Linked DNA regions of Caenorhabditis elegans. The protein of the gene in region 2 interacts with the protein of the main gene of each other region in a pairwise test. Each region holds a gene or a part of one and is shown on either strand. Other genes may lie near its edges. The genes, in order: unc-13 and fbxa-153.

The links.
Region 1: the proteins of fbxa-153 (region 2) and unc-13 interact in a two-hybrid assay, tested with the Caenorhabditis elegans proteins (one study listed by BioGRID).

What each region holds. Positions count from the first base shown.
Region 1 is NC_003279.8:7,418,422-7,428,038, reverse strand, and holds the start of unc-13 (Phorbol ester/diacylglycerol-binding protein unc-13), read right to left. Parts: upstream 5,255-9,617; coding exon 5,182-5,254; intron 5,082-5,181; coding exon 5,052-5,081; intron 3,106-5,051; coding exon 3,006-3,105; intron 2,711-3,005; coding exon 2,600-2,710; intron 2,367-2,599; coding exon 2,236-2,366; intron 1-2,235.
Region 2 is NC_003283.11:15,602,131-15,613,894, forward strand, and holds fbxa-153 (F-box domain-containing protein), read right to left. Parts: upstream 8,255-11,764; 5' UTR 8,251-8,254; coding exon 8,054-8,250; intron 8,008-8,053; coding exon 7,930-8,007; intron 4,962-7,929; coding exon 4,322-4,961; intron 3,822-4,321; coding exon 3,600-3,821; 3' UTR 3,543-3,599; downstream 1-3,542. Other genes in the region: fbxa-152 (F-box domain-containing protein), read right to left, coding at 19-215; fbxa-154 (F-box domain-containing protein), read right to left, coding at 785-988, 1,355-2,036, 2,106-2,189, 2,237-2,437, 2,603-2,680, 2,722-2,924; str-12 (Seven TM Receptor), read left to right, coding at 9,174-9,377, 9,424-9,514, 9,560-9,638, 9,701-10,097, 10,143-10,320, 10,370-10,461; str-263 (Serpentine receptor class r-10), read left to right, coding at 11,056-11,323, 11,757-11,764.

The DNA.
Region 1 (9,617 bases), on a different chromosome or scaffold from region 2:
GAGGAATTAATACTTGCATTCTATAAAAAAATCAAAAATTTTTGAAAATATATTTTATAATTTTAGTACGGAAGGTCATTTTTAATTGTAAATTCAAAAAGCAACAAGCAAACTTATGATTTAACCTATTAAAAAGAAAAACTACCATCATGATTTCCAAAACAAAAAAAAGTGAACTCCGTGATACCGTTGGAAGCTAGCTCCAGAACCGCCGTGCATTATTTGTGAGCAAATCGAAAAGCGAAAAACGGGGAGCAGAGTCAGTCGGCTCGTAATTAGTGTCTTGGCCGGGGGCTTTGTGAAAGATTTATCGCCGAGCTAAATCTGAATACATTCACCTTATTCTCTGTTATTTTACCACCGTTGCATTTTTATTTCTCAAAAATATTGGAATGAAGCAAAAACGAGGTTTTACGGAGTTTTTGGTATTATCGTATTTTTACTAAATTGAGCTGCATCACCAAAACTCGAAAAAAAAACAATTGAAGCTCGGGAAATTTCAAAATGTAGACATCTTCTGAGTAGAAGTTCTTTGAAGTTAAAAGTTTTAAAAATTGAAAATTATCTGAATCTGAGTGGGATTTAGAGACAAGTGGCTGCTTGTGTGATCTGCATTTTCTTCCTCTTCTTCTTTGTCATCGGAGCTCTTGAGCGGCGAATTTGTGCAAAGTATCAAGAGTATTCCCTCATGGGAAGCGTTGTCAGATACTCTCTCACATTTCTTTTCGAGAAATGAAGACTAAAACGGCTATTCCAAATTTTCAGAAATTTTGATTTTTTTGTTCAGATTTCTTTCGGTAACTGACTGGAAACGACTGAACTATTTTTGAACAAATGAATGGAGATTTCAACAAAACAAAACAAAACTTTGAGACATGGATATCGTTTAGAGTAAAAAATAACAAATATTAGTATGTAAACTGAAACAGTGATTTGCAAAAAAAAAATTAGAAAATGCAAAGAATAATCAAGGTTACACTGGGAACTTGGTTCCGAGCTGCTTCAGAAGTTTTAGAGTCATCCTCATAAAATTTTGGCTGCAAAACATGTCTAGTACTAAACCACCTGACATATCTAAAAAATTCCAGTCAAAAAATCAAATTGTTAGAATAAATGCAAAAAATAATTTTGTCAGTTATCATGCTGTAATGAAATTTCAATGTCACACTTGACTAATGAAGAGTCATAAGGGAAGAAAAGGAAAAAAAGATACCATTATAATTTTTTGATAATTTGCTTCTCTATTTTATTTCAAATTTTGTTCGCAAAATGGTTCAAAAAATGTATAGGAAACACGGAGCTTCGAAAAGAGAACTAGAAAGGCTCAGGTGAATCATGGAGACGAAGAAGCCTAAAGTGCTCGACGTTTTTGATGTATGAGGTACACTTGGAATTGTTCAGAGGAGAAACAACGGATGGAACGTGGAATATAAAGAGAGAAGAAGACGTGTCAAGAAACCGATACGATGTGAATGGAAAAATAGAAGGAAACAGTTTTTGAAAGAAAGAAGAAAAGAGAAAAAATTGTAAGCGTTTTAGAAAAAGATATTCCAAAAATTTTATGGGAAAGAACGTTTTGGAATTTGACAGTAACATTTTTAGGTTAAAAATGCATGTCAGAAATCTTATGGTAACAATTAGGTTTCACTAGAATATTGGAAAATGTTCATAAAATTCTAAAAAACTGTAACAGATTGTGTGTCTATCGTGTTGCATGATCAATAACAACGGATCAATCTGATGGAATCTCGTATTTTAGTCTTGCATCCATTTGCTTTACATTGACAACTCTTATCTTAATTGTCGTTGGTTTTTCCAAAACTTTTTCAACAGTAAAATATTATCTAATATTTTTCAGCGTTAAAGATAAGGATTACTTCAACTGTGAATTTATCAGCAAATACAGGAGAATCTGATAATTTTTATTTTGAGCTTGTTACCGCTAACTTCTGAATAGTTTGTTCAGTTTTGAACAATATCAAGATAATTTTGAATTGGTTTAGATTAGGTGTTTCTGAATGCAATTAATTAAGTTAAATTGTAAATTGATTATGAACAGCAATTAGCTCAATGTGCTTCAGCAAGTAGCATGATCAGGCTTTTAGAATATATATATTTAGAAATATATAAGAATATATAATAGCATAAAATAATTAAGATTTAATCACAGAGGAGGGGAATATCAACAAAAATCCATACTATAAGAAATTATAATTCTGAATAACAACCACTCACCAAAAGGAAGCTCAAATCGAACATCAGTCAACAAGTTATGACCTGTTGGACCACGTGTTCCTACAGTTTGACCATTTCTTGTTTCAAGTTCATGATCCATTTGAAGCCATTGACCCGAACCTGCTGCATTGCTGAAAATCAATGGGGTATTTTTAGAAAACTGATACATTAATTTTAAAAGTTAGAAACCACTTCCGCTCAATTACGACAATTATAGGTGGCGAAAACTGAATAATTGCACTTTTCCATTGTAAATAAGAAACGTTCATATTTTTTCGTAAAATTGTATTAAAGTATGTTGCCATTTTAGTATTGGTTTTAGAGTGATTTTAACTGACGACTGGAAATTAAAAAAAAATTTTACCTGTATCTAATCTCCGAAAGTGGCATATAATGAACACCTATTAATTTGTCCCATAAAACGCCTTTGGCCCATAATTCGAGTACCATTCCGTCGTCAGGTCGATTTGTTTCACTGAAATAATTAATTAAATATGAGGTGATGTGGTTTAGCTGAAACCTTAATGTTTGATTAATTGGTTTTCAAATATAATTGTTGTTATTTTAATAAAATAATTGTAAGTGTAATGAAAAAAAAACAAGTAAAACGTTCCAAAACTAAAAAAAGGAGGCAAAATAACACCAATTTACGCATAATGGTATTTTTCCTTCCATAATATCAAATATTACTATTTTCAGCTGTTCTTTTTTTATAACATTTACAAAAATCGGTCTCCTTTACCGTATTTCACCTGTCAATGACAACTTACAAAATGAATTCCTGCTCCCAGCATGGTAAGTTGCCACGCACAGCCACAGTTGTTGATTTTACAGTCTGCAGCTTCACCGTCACGTACGAGTTGAATTCATCTGAGATCAGGCATTTAAATTGTTTTTCAAAAATTTAAAAACTGAAAAAAAACATGCTCTAATGATAGGGAGGGCGCGAAACGTTAATGCTTGTACAAAACCTCTTTAAAATTTATAGAAAATTTCAACTCAATCCAAGTTTTGATAATCAAAATTTTAAAAATCAAAACTTGATAAGACTTTGGTAAAACGAAGGTGAAAAGTTGTTGAGATTTCATTTCCAAAAAGAAATTTGAAAAAATCTAGAGAAGATTATAAATCTGCAAAATCTCTCCAATCCTAAATAAAATCGCAACTTCAAAATTTTTTTACTGCTGGACAACTTATTGGCTAATCCTAAAAATGGGACAGTTGAAAACAATTGGGTCCTAAAACAAGAGTTAGAATGTAACACGTTAACTATAAATATGCTCTCATGAAAATTACTGGGACGCTCAGTTAAACTTTTGTACCCAGGGGAACAATAAAAAAAGAAGCTATATTTTTTTTAGTTGAAAAGAAAAAAAAAAAGAGAACAACGTGAATTATAACTCAATTTCTGGCTCAAACTTGAGTGAAAGATCAAGAATCTTTAAAGTTCTTTCTCATGAGATTTATAGTAAATGTAAAAAGCTACTAAACATTGAACGATTTGTTAAATTTTTTGAACAAGCTGGTTGTATTCTTACTATTACTATATGCTCTTACTATATGCTTTAAAGATGGGGTACTTTTAGCGGGATTTTGTCAACTTACGTTTAGAATGTGGGGTTTTTCGAACTATATGTGTAACTTCAGACACATTCTTTACTACTAATACTTAAAAAAACGAAAACATTTGTTCTATATTCTCAAAATTAAATGAAATATCAAAAATTATTTCAAAAGCATTGGAAATATATGTTTCGCTTAATTTTTAATAATTTTTTAAAATTTTAATTCCATAATTTTTTCTTGAGCTTAACGTACATGATAAATAACAAAGTTTAAGTTTCATTTCATTTTTCTTGGTCTTTAAGCTTCCAGTCCACCGTATCTTGTTTCGTCTCCGGTGCCCTCATTCATTCGTCATTCCATTTCAAACGTTTTCCCCAGTGACTTACTCTCTTGTTTAGAGGTGCCCCCGGTGCTTCTATGTTTAATTTCCTGGCAACTTTTTTCCGGTTTCTTACTTTTTACTTACTCACTTGCTCACGAATGTAGTTAAACTTTTCCTGCCTCTTCAACGACTCTTTTCTCTTATCTTACTCTAAAAAGGTCCCAAAATTTGATTAAAATTTGCCAAAAAAAAGGGATGGGAAAATAGAAGAGGCGGGTGCATACACATACATTCAGAATACTAAGCACATCTTGTACGTGATGTTGAGGTATAAGTTGTGCATTATTTCGTGTGTCATCGAAGCATGAAAACGCGCGTTTCACGATGAGATTTATTATTCGGGAGGTCGCCCCGTGAAACTGGAATGACAGGTGTCACGAATGATGAATTTCTCAGGCGACAACTACAAATCGGAGCAACGCCACGCATGATCGTTTCTCGATTTGCAGAAAGGGATTTATTCAGATTTTTTAGTCTTTCACCCAAAGGAGGTGGACATTTCATTTAAAAAAAGTCAGATCCACATTTCAGACATCTGGCAAGTTAATAGTTTTTTGTTGAGATAAAGTGATGATTCATAAAGTGGAAGAGCCACTTGATTTTCAGTTAGCTCTGACTATGATTTTTTAAAAGTATTTGGAGCAGGAGCATCTTTTGGTTCTATGGTCATCGAGACTAATTGTAACAGTACTGGCACACTGTTACATTTTCAGATTTTTTTCAAAAAATTGGCAGAACTCTCAGAATATTTGTTACATTATCTACTTCAAGTTTCAGGGAATTTCCAGTATTTTTCAAACGAAATAAATTATTTTAAATGAAAACTGAACTATATATTTTAAGTTATAAAATCAATAGAAATACTCACCGACAGCTCCTTGAAGTCGTGCTTTTTTAACTGAAACAATCAATGTTAACATCTCGTCCATAACTGAGTGTCGATGGTCTCGTATATATGTATTCTCGAGACGGCAAGAAGAACACAAATAACAACTCACTGGTAATGCAGAGCAACCTCATGCTCATGCCATCTGAAAGTTGATCATCATTGTAATCTCCAACGTCATCCATCCCTTCTGATTGTTGAAACGTGGCATATTCTTGGGCGATGGTTGAAGAGGAAGCGGCCTCCCCAGATGGGTACGCGCCGCCGACCAGTTGTTCCAATGCCGAGAACAACTTGGTCTCCTGGAGAGTTTTTGGATCAGGATTTTCAGAATTTTAAGGTTTTAGCGAATCAATTAGAGATCAGGTTTAGGTTCAAGTTCCTGGTGCAGAGTTAAAGCTTGAGATCAAGTTTAACCTATAGACAAAAGTTAAACTGAAGGTCAGTGATGAGTGGTACAAATAATTGGATTAAGCAGAAGTAAGTAAGTTCAAAAGAACTAACAGCCTAATCAGACAGATCCAGAGATCTTTGAAATTTGTGTTTTGTAGTTTTTGTTCAAAGAAAGTTATAGATAGAACGTGTTCAAAGCCCCTTAATTTTATATAAAAATTAAATTAAAAACAAAACTCTCAATTCCTACATAACAATGAATAAAAAATTATATGCATGACATGATGAAAAGTCATAAAATACAGAAAAAATGAGCTCCTTTTTTTGCTAAGAAAATGCGTATAGCCTCGAGGTGCCTTCTGCATTATAATGAAAAATGCATCACTTTTTTCTATACTTTTTTTACTATGAAATACGAAAAACTGGGTTAAAAAGTAAATACAAGTTTAGAAAAACTATATTGTTTTACTTCTTTCTCTTGTCAAAGTTGTTTTTATTCTTTAAATGAGAAAATTTCAAGAATGTGTTAGTAACTCAGTGATTTTAACATTCAAAAGTGGAACATAGTGAAAATTTTTTCAAAAAAAAAAAAAAAAAAACGAAATTAAAAAAACGAAATTTTTGTTACCAGTCAAAAAAATTAAAGAGTTTGCAAAATTAAATTTTGGCAGTATAACATCATTTTGACTGAACATTTGAAAAATCTGAAACAATTTTTTAGGGTCTCATTTAAGCACTTTTATTTTTGATTTTGACAAAATCCTGACTGGTGCTACATTATTTTTACAATAAAAAAACAAAACTTCAACATGAACTTCTTATGGACAAAAAAGCTGTAAACTCTTTAATATAATTTTTGTCTAAAATTCCAAACCTAAACGAAAAAATCTTGATCAAACCACAAAAAAAGTTGATTAAGAAAGTCCAAAAAAAGAAACGAACGCAAAATGCGCGAAAAAGTAGCATTTTTTGGAGTATATACTAAAGAAACCAGTGAGATAGTGATTCAAACTAATAGACGCAGAGAACCGGAATAAGTATAACGGAGAGTGTGGAGACGGCGACTGGATGAGCTTGTGCTTTCTTCTTCTTCTGCTCCCGCTCTCTACCCCCTATTCGCCACTCCCCCCTTCGCAAAAATTGAGGACGGAGTAGCAGAAGACGTCGCGGAGCCAAGCTAGAGGAGCACGGAGCACTGAATTCTCGGAGAACCCAGAGATAGTTGCACCCACTACCACCACTCTTCCCTTCACCACAATTTCTCTTTTGGTGTCCCTCTCTCTCTCTTACTTTTTCACCAATTGGGTTTCAGAAATGGACAATAGGAGGACGTTTATATGTGTTTGTGTATGTGGACGGTTCTCACGCTCTAGTGCTCTCCATTCCAATTTCTAGACCTAGATGCCACTCAATGCTTCAAAACAGACTTGCTATGGGAATTCATATCAAATTCTGTGTTCCGATGAGGTTTTAAAATCATACGAAGAACCCATTTTCAAGGGTTGTGTTCCAGAAAAAGATATTTTTAATTATCAAGATGTTTTCTAGGAAATTAGATAGTTTCCAGCATGTTTTAAATATCGAAAATTAGTTCTGAAATTTTTATATTTGAAGAAGAAAATCTGTAAAAGGATCAGTCACAAAAATTATCAAAAAGTTTTTAAATGGATGGTCGTAATGCATCAAACGGTTAAGATGAAGATTCTCTCAGAAATTTTGTGTCTGAATATTTCATATTCTAAATTCTAAAAAAACCCAGCACACTTATCGACATTTTCGAGCATTTTGCATCGAATTTTCTCAAACTGAAACAATTTTCTCGTATTTCTCGAAAGTTACAATAACGCTTTGACATGTTGACGTAAATGTTTACATATTAACAAATATCAAATTGTACCATTTCTCTAACTAAAAAACAAATCATTATAACATAGCAGATGAGAAGGGTTTGATATTTTGAAAGGAAATTTGAAGCCATAATGAAATCAAAATTTCAAAACGGGAGTTTAAAATTTCTAATCACTTGATGAAAACTTACAATCTGAAATCATTTGCATCTCAGAAACCTTTTGAAAATGCGATTTAATTTTTCAAAAAATATTTTGAATAACTTTGGACGGACAATGATGATCGATAAAATGCGACTGCACATAAAATACACAAATCAAACAGCTGAAAAATAATTGAAAATTGTTTTTCACTTGTTCACTATTTATGGATAAATTTTTTGATCGGAAAATTGAAAATAAAAGTTTTGTACAACAAAATTGTTTTATGAGTTGGATATAGCTATAATATATCTTTAATATAATCTTTTAAAAGGAAAAAAGAGAACCAAAAAGAAAAACGTTTTGTTTCATCTCACCATCTCATCATCGTCATTTTTTGTTAGATTTATTCGAGCGGAAAAAACATTTGAGCATTGATAAAAAGCTTTAAATGAAATATTCATCAATTCTGGTGGATTTGAACTTTTCCAATTTGCTCATGTCGAGAAAGCCACAGTGTGTTAGCTTGTAATAACTTAGAATTTGAAATAGCCCAGGTGTGAAAAATTCCATAACAACGATTGATTTCAATTTAAAAATCAATAAATCAATAATTTTTAATTTTTATTACTGATTTGTTAGTGAAAAGTATACATACATAAACTTGATAGAGTAAAAGCGTTCGTTCTTCCGTACAAATTTTGGAACATTTGAAGAAAGGTGTTCTAAATCTCAAAATGGTTTCCTTGCAAAACTTTTCTTTAAAAATGTTTAACACACTGGAACATCTTAGAAAAATAAATCTAGGAATAAAAATTAGCATAGCGTCATTTTTTTTAAAAATTCAATCGCCAAAAGAGATTGTTTTTGCAGAATGAAAAATTGTTTTCTCACTTTGAAGATACGAAGGGATAGAAGATGAAGCAGTCATCATCATTTCCCCAAGTGTCATCTGAATCTCTAATCGTCTTCCGTTCAAGATTAACTTTTAATATCTGCGTGGTAGGCCTAGCTCAATCGTCTTTAATGGAAAGTTGAATATATGGAAAAATATAGAGAAGTTCTTGAAAAAAAACCATTTGAAATTTAAAATAATCTGGTGTTTCATTCTTTTTTTCGAGTTTTAAAGTTTTCCGAGAGAGGAAAAAAACTAACTCATCAAAAATTCATTCAGAAATACGACCCTTTTTCCCAATCTCCAAAACGAAAAAAGCCATCAAACACCACTTTTCACGCTGATCCAATTGATTCTTACCTTTTCTGAAACCTGATCCTAGACTTCCTTTTTTATTTTAAGGGATAGACATGTGAAAATGTTATTCTTGGATTAGGTATGGCCTAATCCTAGCTTTAAACATTAAACCCACATTGTCTATTCCATTACCATCACCCTTACCTGACATGCCACGTGCCATCAATATTCAGAAAAAATAGACGGATAATACGGAACAAAAACGAGAAATTGTCCAACGCGGAACGAACGGGGCAAAATTCAAAAAAAATCAAGAAACAAGATAACAAGAAAAATAGAAAAAAACGAGAGGGGGTCAGAAGGAGTAGAGTAAAAACGGAAAAAAGCAAAAGCAGGAGATGGCGGGGATTTGATTATTTGGCTATAGAGAGCCCACGGAGCTGCTGATGTTCAATTTTCAGATACACCAGGGAGTGATGGTAGCTTGAAAGAACACTTGGTATATAGTGAGAAAAGCTGAATTTTCGCCAAGATTTTATCTTAAAACGGTGGTTGATTGTAAAACTATACAATATATAGGAAAAAGTATGCAATTTTCCACTTTTGGAGAAAATTTACGAGGCTTGAACTTAATTCAAAAACTCAGATTCAATTTTTGTTCCATTTCAAAGGTACAGTTTATTTACGACTTGTTCATCAGTGAGCTCTTCTCATTATTCAAAATGTGGGCGTAACGAATTTGGCACAATGTGCATACCGCGACTCGCGAACTACCAAAACTTGCGCGTCGTTTTCGTGATGCGCACATTGCCCGTTCCTTGATTCTGATGCTTCCATTGAGCTCATGGATATGACAACTTATTTGTGAGACTCCTCTGCAGCTAATTTTCTTGTAGGGTTCAATTTAAAATTTTACCTTTTTTGCCTGAATTCATTGAATATAATGTAACTCTTATGCCCAATTCTACCATTTCT
Region 2 (11,764 bases):
TTCCGATATTTAACCTACTTCTGATCATAATTCAAATCATGATTTCCTTCATAAAATCGATAAAACCAGAACTCAAAATCTATGTAATCCATGACGTCATCGCCTAGTTTTTCGCAGAAATTCTTATAGCTTTCACGTATTGGCTTGCGGTGAAGAACTTCGTAGAGAATGCATGATCGAATGAAAATTGGATTTTCCAGTACTGATTCGGCCATTTCTAAACGAATAAAAACAAAATATGAGTCTGCCTAAAAAAAAAAAACGAAGACAACAAAAAAGTGCAACAGCACTCTCGAAGAAAAAAGAATACGCAAATACGCAGTGGCTATTCTTGTTGGGAGGTCTTATGGAGAAGCACGAGGGAATGAGAGAAGTGCTCCAGTGACATAGAGAAAAGAGATACGAATCTGAAAAGAGGGCATGGAAAATGAGAATGCGGAGTCGTCGCGAGCACGTGAGAGGAAGGGTTACAGGGTGAAAAAAGTCTAAGTATAGCTTGAAGGTACTATATCGTTAGTGGGAACAATGTATGAATAATCTAATAGTCCAACTCCAAAAATTTTCAAAATTTTCAGTCAAATCTTTTGGACTTTTTTTCCAGAAATGCTTAAGTTAGTCGTTGCCCATATTTGACAGTAAATATGAAAATTTCAAAGATTTTTCCAATACATTTTACTATGATATTTGGCAACTTTAAAGTATACCGTATGACGTGTTGATTACCACCATATTTTGTTAAGAAATTACTTTTATTGCGAACAAGGAGATTAGACAACAACTGAAATCATGCAGTAAAGTTAGGAAAAATGAGAATTTCACTGTGATAAGCAAAATTAATCACAAAAACACGGTGCCTAGTGCGGTAATTAATACGGCAGTCGAGTGGAAGCCTGTCCAAGTTTGGGTCAAACATCTGCTCAAGACCTCTGATTGTGATTGGAGAGAACTTGAATCTGCCGTATCGAAAGTGTGGAGATTCTATGAGAATCTGAAAACAAAATTACATTTTGTCATTTCTATGTGTTTGGCTTTCAAAACTATTGTGAAACGGGAACGTAGTAATGAATACATACATATGTACATTGGTACCAATTGATATATTTCTTGGAATTTAGAATATTTGCTTCTTTAGTTGTTGTAAACAAATTTGAAATGAGTTTAGCTAATTGAAAATTAATAACAGGCCTAGACGAGGCTTAGGCTTAGACTTGGGCTTTGGCTTAGACTTAGACTTAGACTTAGTTAGACTTAGGCTTAGGCTCATACTTCTTATTTTAATTTTTCACAATTAAGCGAAATATGAGCAGCCAAAATACCTCGTTGAGATGTTACCCTTTCAAAACAAACATCTTACGTTTCGAATATCAATAACATTTCTTCTTGAACCGTTCCAAATTTCCAGATTGACACTCGTAAAGTGAAGAAAATGCTCAAGAGGGATCCGCCCATCGACCTTCCAATACATTTTAATGTTTTTAACCTGTAACCATTGTTCCAAACGGACAGCTTTTTCGAACCCGGGAATATCCGACTCGCGATGGAACCCCAAGATCATATGTTCAAGCGTTCCAGGTTTGAAATGAGAAAGCACTGACGCAAGTTCGTAATTGTTTTCCTTATCCCTCAAGAAGTTGCTATCAAGTTTCAACTTCTTCACATCCAACAAATGAGGCAACAATTTCAGAACCTTCTTGAGTCTTGTGCCATACTCGACGCGATATTCCTCACTCTTAATATCACATCTCATATTCATATTAAACATTCTCAATTTGAGCTTCGGATTTTGGAGAATTGCTTTTAAATCTGCCATGACAAGTTCCAAACAGTCACCACTACCAATGAGTATTCCATTCATTCTACAATCTTTCCTTATCTTGCATCCCTCTGGAGAATTGTAGTATTCCACCAAATCACCATCAATGACCAGTTTGCATTCGGATTCATCGTGAAGCGAATGGGCAGCAACACTCTTGATACTGTGGTGATTTTTATCAACAAGAGCTTCAAGCTTGCGGGAGACTCTTCGGACTATCATTCTGTAACTTATGAGGTAGAAATAGGTCCATATATATATATATATATATATATATATATGTCATGCTCACCGATCCAGTACAGTTAACCCATCCAAAATATCGCTGACGATCTGTATCGGTAAGTCGACAAAAGAAGTTTGCGGTGGCTCCTCACTGAAATTCGAGCACTTTTTTGAAAGTTTTCAAAATAATTTCCCAACCTTTGAACATAATGCAATTCCTTATTTCCATGGTAGAACAGGTAGTACCAAAACTCGTAATCGCGGTATTCCATGGAGTTGGAAACAAGTCTACAGAATTTACGATACGATTCGAATATTGGTATCTCGTTTAGGGCGTCAAAAAGTATGCAAGCTCGCATTGCGACCTGGCTGTCGGAGATGTGGATTACTTTACGGGGTCTGGAAAGTATTTAGTAATATTTCGCAACCTCCCCGGTTTCGAGAGCAAAATTTTTTTAGGGATTGAGATAATTCGAGCAAAATTTCAAGCAAAAGTATAAAAACTACCATCTTCTTAGAGCAGATCTAAAATGGTCCCGGAAATCGCCGAGACCAAAAACTAACCGAAAAACATTGCGTAGCCGTAGTGCAGTTTTTCGAAGAATCTGTATAGGAGAGCAAATTGCAGATAGCGGTTCCAATCTGAGAGAATAACAACTACAACTCACTATAGTTGGCGTTACCTCTTATCATAATTCAAATCGTGGTTTCCGCTCTCGAATCGCGAAATCCAGAACTCTGCGTCTGAAAATCTGACAATTTCATTTCCAGGAGAATGATGCTTAAGTTCCGAGAAAGTTTCTAATACGCCCTTCTTGTCGAGCACCTGGTAGAGAAGAACGGCGCGACTTGCTATTTTCATGTTATGAAGAGGAGTGGCAACCATGTTTGAGCCGTAAGTGATTGGGTTAGAGCTGTAAGAAGTGTATTCCAAAAGTGGAGCAAAATGACGGAGCTATTGGATGAAGCATGTGAGATGGTGAATACATCTGTTAACCGTGCTGGGTAGTGAGGTCCAAAAGCTCAGCTGTTACAAAAAATAGTTGTTTGAACAGCTGTGGAAAATTTTACACATTTAAAAAATAGTTGTTTTCGGCTTCCTCATAATATTTATGGCAAACTTTCCAAACAACTTGGGCAGCTTCTGTCTTGAAAATCGTCAGGCTTGAAAAACGAGAAAGGCGGCTAGATTAGAAAGGAGAATATGTGTGATTGTGAGACTTACATCTGTTGAAAGGAACTCGTGATACCAAGAGCGGAGGGGGTGGGCACCGAAACGTACAATTATACATCTGGCAAAAATGTCTATGTTTCATCAAATATGACCATCTGAATATACAACTTTTTATTGGAACCAGCCTTGGGTTTTTTAGAGTGATTGTTTTGTGCAGGAAAAATACAGGATAGGCTACGCCCTAAACATTACCGGGCCCCGAAAAACCCAGTCTCGAAAAAAGCTTTACCAAAAAGCCTTATTTCAATTTTTTGAAAACTCGCAAAAGTTGAGATCAAATAATTTATTCACTAAAACTACGGTTCAAGTATTTACAGAATATTCAATTTACATAACTACAGGAATCGACTGTTTATCAGCTTTTCTCAAAATTCGAAAACTGTAAGGACCGCATTGGATAGTATAACAGAAATTTGATGTATTGTAATCCAGTGAGTTTTCGGAGCCAAGTGCATAATCTGGGTTGAAGACCTTCCCGATTTCGATGGGGTCCGTGATGATGCTTCGAAAAGTTCCCGATTGTATTTTGTTTGGAAAGTTGTCGAGATACTGAAAGAATTAAGCTGATTGTAAATTATTGTAATGCTCACATGATGCTCAAATTACCAAATATTATTAAAAGCTTTTCGAAAAGTTTTGGAAAATTGTTTTCATTTACATTACAATGTGGAAAAATTGTACTTTTAAACACAACATGAAAGGATAAAAAACTTATTTTTAGGTCGACGAATACCAAAAAAAAAATGAGTGAAAACTGAGTTTTCACCAATTCCGGCTCGAAATAAAAATAATTTCCAAAAACTAGCTTCAAAACACCGAATTTCATAACGAGACACTTCTAAAAAATCAGTAAAATTTGTTTATGGCGGGTCAAAAACTTGAAACTATGGCCTAATTTCAACTAAAATCCCCAATTTTCTTTTTTTTTTGTGCCACAGCCGTCGGAAAAGTTAGCACACTGCCAAGAAAAATTTGTGGGTCATTCAAAGTAAAATAAAAGAAAACATTTCAACACCTTGTTCTCTTTCGATATAATGTTAAAAACTCACATTCTTAATTTCCACTGCATATTCTCTTGTGAAGGACTTTAGTGATATCTCGAATCCCGCCAAATGAGCCAAATTTGCAAAAGGAATCGAAAGTTTGCAGTCACCACAAATTGAAATCGATTTTGCCCTTTTCCATTGTTCCAAACTATAGACACCTGTATTCATCACAAAATCTTCTGAAACTCGAGAAACATCTAGTGAAATCGTCTGGATTGCTTCCGAATTGAGGCAACCTAAAGTGGTCTTAATTTCCGATTGGTGAATTCCGTTAAACGTGAAGTTTCTGATTCTCGGCCATTTCCAAGAATGAAAAGTCTCGATCACCTTCTTCCGGGCGTCTTGCTCAAGGGCACTTGAAAATGTGATCGCGAAACTGTTGAGTTGAAGTTTCGGATGCTTCATCGAATTTGATAAATCATGCAGTGCCAATTCCAGCTGATCTCCTAACGGAACACCTTTGTCGACATCTTCATACTTCACCATACAACCACCATCACATCGTTGGTATTTGACGTTGTGATGAGAAAAATTCAGAATCGACCAATCTCTGCACAGTCTGAGACTTACTTCCTTATGACATATGACTTCAAAATCCCCGACAACTGATCGCAGGGTTTGGGAAACTTTATGAAGGATCATTCTGAAAAATGTTACAGTTAGCCAATAGGTAGCCAATTTTTGGGACTCTCATTTCCGGAGATGTTTTGTGTTGTTTTTTAGTGAGAGAATTACTTTTTTCCAAAAATATGAGCCGAACAAATTAGTAAAGCGCCACCCCTTTCTTGGTATTGCAGCGCAGTATTCAAATTTTCCGGGACTTTGTGAGTTCACTTTTTGAAACAATTGTGTAGTAAAACTTTCCAGAATATGTATAGGAAATCCCCAAATAAGATCCGCTTGGATCATGCCTAATTTGGGGGGATTTGCCAAGATGTGGGAGGAGCTCATGTTTCAGAAATGTATTTAATTTGGCTTTATTTTCTGCCTCCTTCCTAAAACCCCCATCTTGCCACACACACGCGTTTTCGGTGTTCAAAAAATGTTCAAAAAATGTCCGAAAAAATGGAACAACAACTTTGAACGTTTATATCTCGGCTCTCACTGAACCGATTTTTGAAATTCTTTTTTCTCCACGTTCACAAAATATAGCGACGTGTGTTTATCTAAAAGGGGGTTGATTTTGGATCATCCTGTCGGCTCCACAAGCGGAAAACCACACCCTTCTTGTTTTTGCGCACACCGAAGTACTGGCCGAAAACCACTTTAAATTGAAGGAAAATTCGAGTTTATGTTCAAAACGTTTGAGACTCGAAACTTACGTTCTCCTTTTCAATACCTATCCACTGTATCTAAGTTCATTGTGATATCTCTATTCGTTATTTTTAAAACGATAATTAAAGTTTTGCTAAAATTTCTGCACCTCCCCCCTTTTCTCACACACACACACCCACCTCCCCTTTTCATATTTGGTGTGTTTTCATCCACATTTTCACCATTGTTTCGGTCATATCTCCGTTAGTCTTGCTTCTTTTTCAAAATTTTTTTTGGAAAAATGTTCATCACATCGAGAGGAAGCGGAAAATATAACTTTTTGTTTCAAAAAAGGTAAATAATAGTCTCAAAAATAGAAAAAATGAACACTTCTTTCAAACAATTTACATTTTTCCATAAAATTCACAAACTTTCCACTATCGTTCCGGTTTTTATGTTAAATTTGGAATTAATAGAATGATTTAAAATGGGATCTCAAATCACAGCTCGATCCGATCATTTTTCGCGGAGATAGGTTATTTAATTTTTGCATGTGGAAATCCAGTTTTCCTTTGTTCCTGGACAAGTTTTCAAATATCCTTTTCATTTTATGTTTTAATTTTGATAATTTTCACTAAAGCAAGGTAGACAAACTAAATTTGGTCGGTCTTGACAACTTTCAGCACATTTGTGGAAGTTTTGAGCTTCCAGGCCTTCCCAGAAGGTGATATGTTTCAATTTTTGTTATTTTTAAAATAATAACCGCTGTGTTATTCTACTTTTTACGCCAATTTCAAATATTATTTTATTTTTTTCAAACTTCTACTATGAGCAAAGTTATGACGAATTGAAGTCTTAGTGCATAACTCCTTACCTCTCCTCACTGCTGCATGCGTGCGGGTGGCTGGAAAATGTTTTCTTCCCAAAAAAACATAGAAAGGCACTTTAACTCTAAGAATATTCAGTTCACTTTGAACATCTATTTCAGGCATTGCAGGCCGAAGGCCTGCTGTGCAATTACAACTGTTTCAAGCCCAGATTGTCTGGATTAAGTGCCGCAGGCACTCTTACTCTTAGAAGACGCAGTCAACCTTAAATCATTATACCAAGCCAGGCCGGAGGCCTGATATGCGATTACTCTTAGATAAGTTTGATTTAGCAAGCTTTTATTATTTTCAGTTTTCTAAAACAATCCCCATTCCCGAAGGGCTGGGGGCCCACAGGCGTTCACGATTTTCCAAAAAAGTGAAATGTTTATTTTTTGGTTATTTTTCGAATTTGAAAACACCATACGATTTTGGTTTAAACACTAAATTGAAATAGAAATTTCGCTCTCTTACGATCTACGCCCTACCCACTGCTAAGCCTGGCAAGTCGCAGATTTGCTATCAACAATATTGGAAACTGTGGGCTGGCTTTGATCCTATTCTAAGCAGAGCAGGCTGTAGGCCTGCGACGCGGTTGTTATTTACTCAAACCTAACAACCAGGTTCGAGGGCCGCAGGCCCGAACACTCTTGGAAACTATGGGCTGGCTTTGATCCTATTCTAAGCAGATATGTTATTCACTCAACCCTAATAACCAGGTTTGAGGGCCGCAGGCCCGAATACTCTTGAAAACTGTGGGCTGGCTTTAATCCTATTCCAAGCAGAGCAGGCTGTAGGCCTGCGACGTGGTTGTTATTTACTCAAACCTAACAACCAGGTTCGAGGGCCGCAGGCCCGAACACTCTTGGAAACTATGGGCTGGCTTTGATCATATTCTAAGCAGATATGATATTCACTCAAGCCTAATAACCAGGTTTGAGGGCCGCAGGCCCGAATACTCTTGAAAACTGTGGGCTGGCTTTAATCCTATTCCAAGCAGAGCAGGCCGTATTCATGAGTTTTCCTTTTCCTTCACCGTTTTTTGTAGTTCACAGTGATGATTGAAAACACGCTTATTTTATTGAATACATTCAAATTATTCTTGAACAAAATCTCAGCCTAAGTTATTCGTACAGTGTCGGTCCTGGAGCAATGAATCAAAGTTTAAAGAGATTTCACTTTACACAGTAAGAGCTTCGAGGAGAAGCCTCAAACTTGAATAGTCAAGTTTTCTAAACATATACCCCACTCCTGAAACAATTTCAAAGAGATTTCGAATAACCCGTTAACAGGTTCGAGGCGAAGCCGAGAACCTGCGCCAGCTACCTTGCTAATAACTTAGAGCGAATTAACCCTATCCCCATTCCCGAAGGGCTGGCGGGCCCATAGGCCCGCTAGTCCTTTAACAAAGAGGATATTCTGATTTCGATAACTAAAAATTTTGGATCAAAATTTGAAATAGAAAATAATTTTGAAAAACTCGAAATTTACCTATCGCGAAAATCCAGTTCATTTAAAATCCTATGAAATATTTCGATGGGCAAGTCTGACAAACTTTTGAATTCCAACCTGAAATTCATTAATTAATAAAAAAGTTTTAAAATATTAAACTTACATTCGATCATCATTCAAATCATGATTTCCTCCATAAAATCGATAGAACCAAAACTCGAAATCCACATAGTCCATGACGTCATCGCCTAGTTTTTCGCAAAAATTCTTGTAGCTCTCGTCGATCGGCTTTCGGTGAAGAGCTTCGTAGAGAATACAGGATCGAACGAAAATTGGATTGTCCAGTACTGATTCAGTCATTTCTAAAAAAGACGGCTTTAAAATTTCAAAATTGCAAATTACAAAGAACAGAAAAAAAACAACCAAAAAAAGTGCAATAGCAATCTCGAGAAATTATGCAAATGTATATGCAATTGCTGGGGTGCCTGATGATGAAATAGTAAATAAGAGATGGGGAAACCCTTGAGAGACTCAGGGAAACGGTAGTAGACACTGGAGAGGAGGGGGAGAGGAGCGGTCAAATGAGTCCCCCTGTGGGGACACATATTTCCTTTTACATAGGTCCAACATCGAAAGAGCAAGTGGAAGTGGGCGATAAATTGCTTCTAAAGTTTCAGTAGATCGACGACTTCATCAAAAAATATTGATTACACTGAACACAAGGCTCGGAGTTTGAGCAGAAATTGTCATTGAGTTTCGAAAGTTTAACGAGAGAGCACGTGGCGTTTCCATAAGCCGAACGAAGTTTGATCATTGTGTAGTGCTGAAAAATTGAATTGATGCCCTGAAATCTCATGATTTCAGACATTTTTCTGACGTCATTTTTGGTGGAAATTGGATCATACAATATATTGTTATTGATATTGACTGTCTGAATTCCGATGCCATGATCTTCGGAATGAAAGTTTGGGAACGAGGGTACTAACAAATCTATTTTAAAAAAATCAATACCTATCTTGATAGATGGCGCTTTTCAAAAGTTAGTTGTATTTTCAGGTATGTGTCATCTAGTTTGAATTTCCTGCAACAAAATTTCATGAACATATTTCCGTTTTCGTGGCAAGACATGATTTGGTTCTTGGGATCAATTAGAATTCAGACGGCAACAACAATATTTTGTAGTCACATTTACAGCAGATATACGGATGGAATACAATACAATCAGTATATATACCACTGAATAAGACGTATTGTGATTTATCAACTGTCAAAGATTCTTCAAAATGTCTGAATCATACGTTTTCTGGATACACGTGACCCATTTTATTCCAAAACTTGGATTCGTTACAACATTTATGTCTGGCCTGTGCCTACTGTTCTTGAACTATTTCGGTGCTCAGAAAAATTTCGGATCTTACAAGTACCTGATCAGTGCGTTCACAATGCTGGGAATGATTTTTGCAACTGTAGAGATAATTGTGTACCCGGTAATAATACGCTTTGTGGCAAAATCTGAAAATGTTATTAATTCAGAATGTTCACAACTATAAAGCTAGCTTTCTATTCTACAGTTTTGAAGAATCTTTTGGTTTAAGTGGATCATGGTCGAGAAATATTCCACTGGGTTAGCATTGATATACCCTTTTAAACATTAAAAAAAAATATTTAGCCGGTTACACATTTTTCCACTCGGCAACCATGTCTCTATTATCAGTGCATTTCATATATCGATATTGGGCAGTTTTTGAGTAAGAAATTTCACATTTCAGAAATGCGCTTTCAAGCTTGAAACAATTCTAAAAAATTTCAGTACGAACAAACTTGCCTACTTCAACGGATGCTATTCTCTTATTTGGTTCTTCTATTGCGCGTTTTTCGGCTTTCAATATTCTCTTGGAACCTACTTTTTTTTGGCAAGAGACGAAATAACTGATGAATATCTTCGTGAAGATATGCTTCTCAGATATAATGCGAATATCAGTGAGCTTCCAGCTATGGCCATAGTTGCCTACGATCCTGTGGATGGATCAGTAAGATGGAGAAATGTTATGGGAATATTTAATATTTGTTCAATTGTCAACTTTCAATATGCTATCATGTTCTACTGTGGATGGTCAATGCATACAAAAATGGAGGATAAAATTAAGAATTTTTCCGAGACTCTTCGAAAACATCACAAACAGTTTTTCAAAACTCTCGTGCTTCAGGTTAGAATGTATTAAAAAAAACGTCCAAGTTCACATGAAATTCAGATAACCACTCCTACAATCATATTATTCATTCCCATCACAATTATAATATTTCTTCCTCTGTTTCACCTAGACGTCAGCCTCCCATCTGGTGTCATGTTATGCAGCTTCACATTGTATCCTGCTGCAGATTCATTTATTGTCATGTTCGTTGTGTCGGAGTACAAGAATACTGTCAAAAGTAAGAATTGTGAAATTGAAAAAGTACCTGATCATACAATTTTTTTTAGGAACTCGAGCGGCCTTTTCTAAGGGTTTGAAGGAAACCATACAGTTTAGAGTACAACCATCTGGAATTACAAGTTCTCGTCAAATTACTTAATAGCTTACTAAAATTTCATGAAAAATATTTTCTCTATTGCCCCCCCCCCGTGACCTCACGAAATATCTTGCAATTTGTTTAATAATTTAGTTCGTTCCCTTCTCCGTTTATATTCTGTCCCCAACTAAAAAAATATCCTTAATAAATGTTTTATCTGAAAACACTGCAAGATTCAAATAAAAAAATTTGGAGAATGAAAAATAATTGCCTAATTACATTTAAAAATGAGAAGGATCATTATAAATTTGGTGTTTTGGGTCATTTCGAGTCTGAATCAAATATTCGGTACCGTTACAAAACAGTGATCAAAATGGTAGACACTTTGTGTTACTCTTCGATCACTTCCAATTTCCTGTCCACCAAAAATGCTTTCTGTGTGTTCTTCGGAATCCGTCCCTGCATTTTTTGCTGGAAAAATCTATATTGACTCAAAACTATTGAATCCTAACAGAAATTTCCAAATAATATTCTCAAATAACACGCAGCTACAAAACATGTGATATTTTTTGGTAGACAGGAAATCATTTCGTAGCCATCTGACAGATACAAATGTTGTCGATCTAGAGTCGTTAACAAAACAGAAAAAAGCGTTCCATGCCGGCACGTGTGATTTTTCAGCGATTTTTGGCCTCCTTAGGATTGCTGAACAACGCCATCCTTATTATTTTAATTTGGAAAAAATCGCCAAAGAAATTAGGGAACTACAAAATTCTCATGATATACATTGCAGTTTTTGAGATTCTTTATTCTTTACTGGACTTATTGACCACTCCAGAATGTTTTAGTAAAGATTCTGTGTTCTTGATTATTATCAATTTGAATTCTACTTTTGTTCCCGAATTTGTCGCTACTTGTGCAACTGGTAGGTTCATATACAATAATGTTTTCAGGACGTTTTTATTTTCAGCCGATGGGTGCACAAATATGAATTTATTTAAAAAGCTAATAAACGTTTTACAAACATTGGAGGATAATAATTAATAAAGGATAATAAAATCAGTTCCGTCCGCTGCGACACTGACAATAGGGAAAAATTGAGATTTTAGCTGAAAATAGGAATATTCTAAAATTTTGAACCATCATAACTCTTTAACAATAATTTCAGAATGTCTCATTACGAAATTAGGTAGTTTTGGGTCATTTGGGTCTAAAAAAGCAAAGCTCAGATTTTGCTACTCCACTTTTAAAATGTCTAATTTTCAATGAAAAAATGTCATATTTCCATTTTTTTAAAGTTTTCTTCACACGATCCAGATATTTCTCACTAAAAACTCCTAAAAATATCCTATTTTCAGTTGCATAT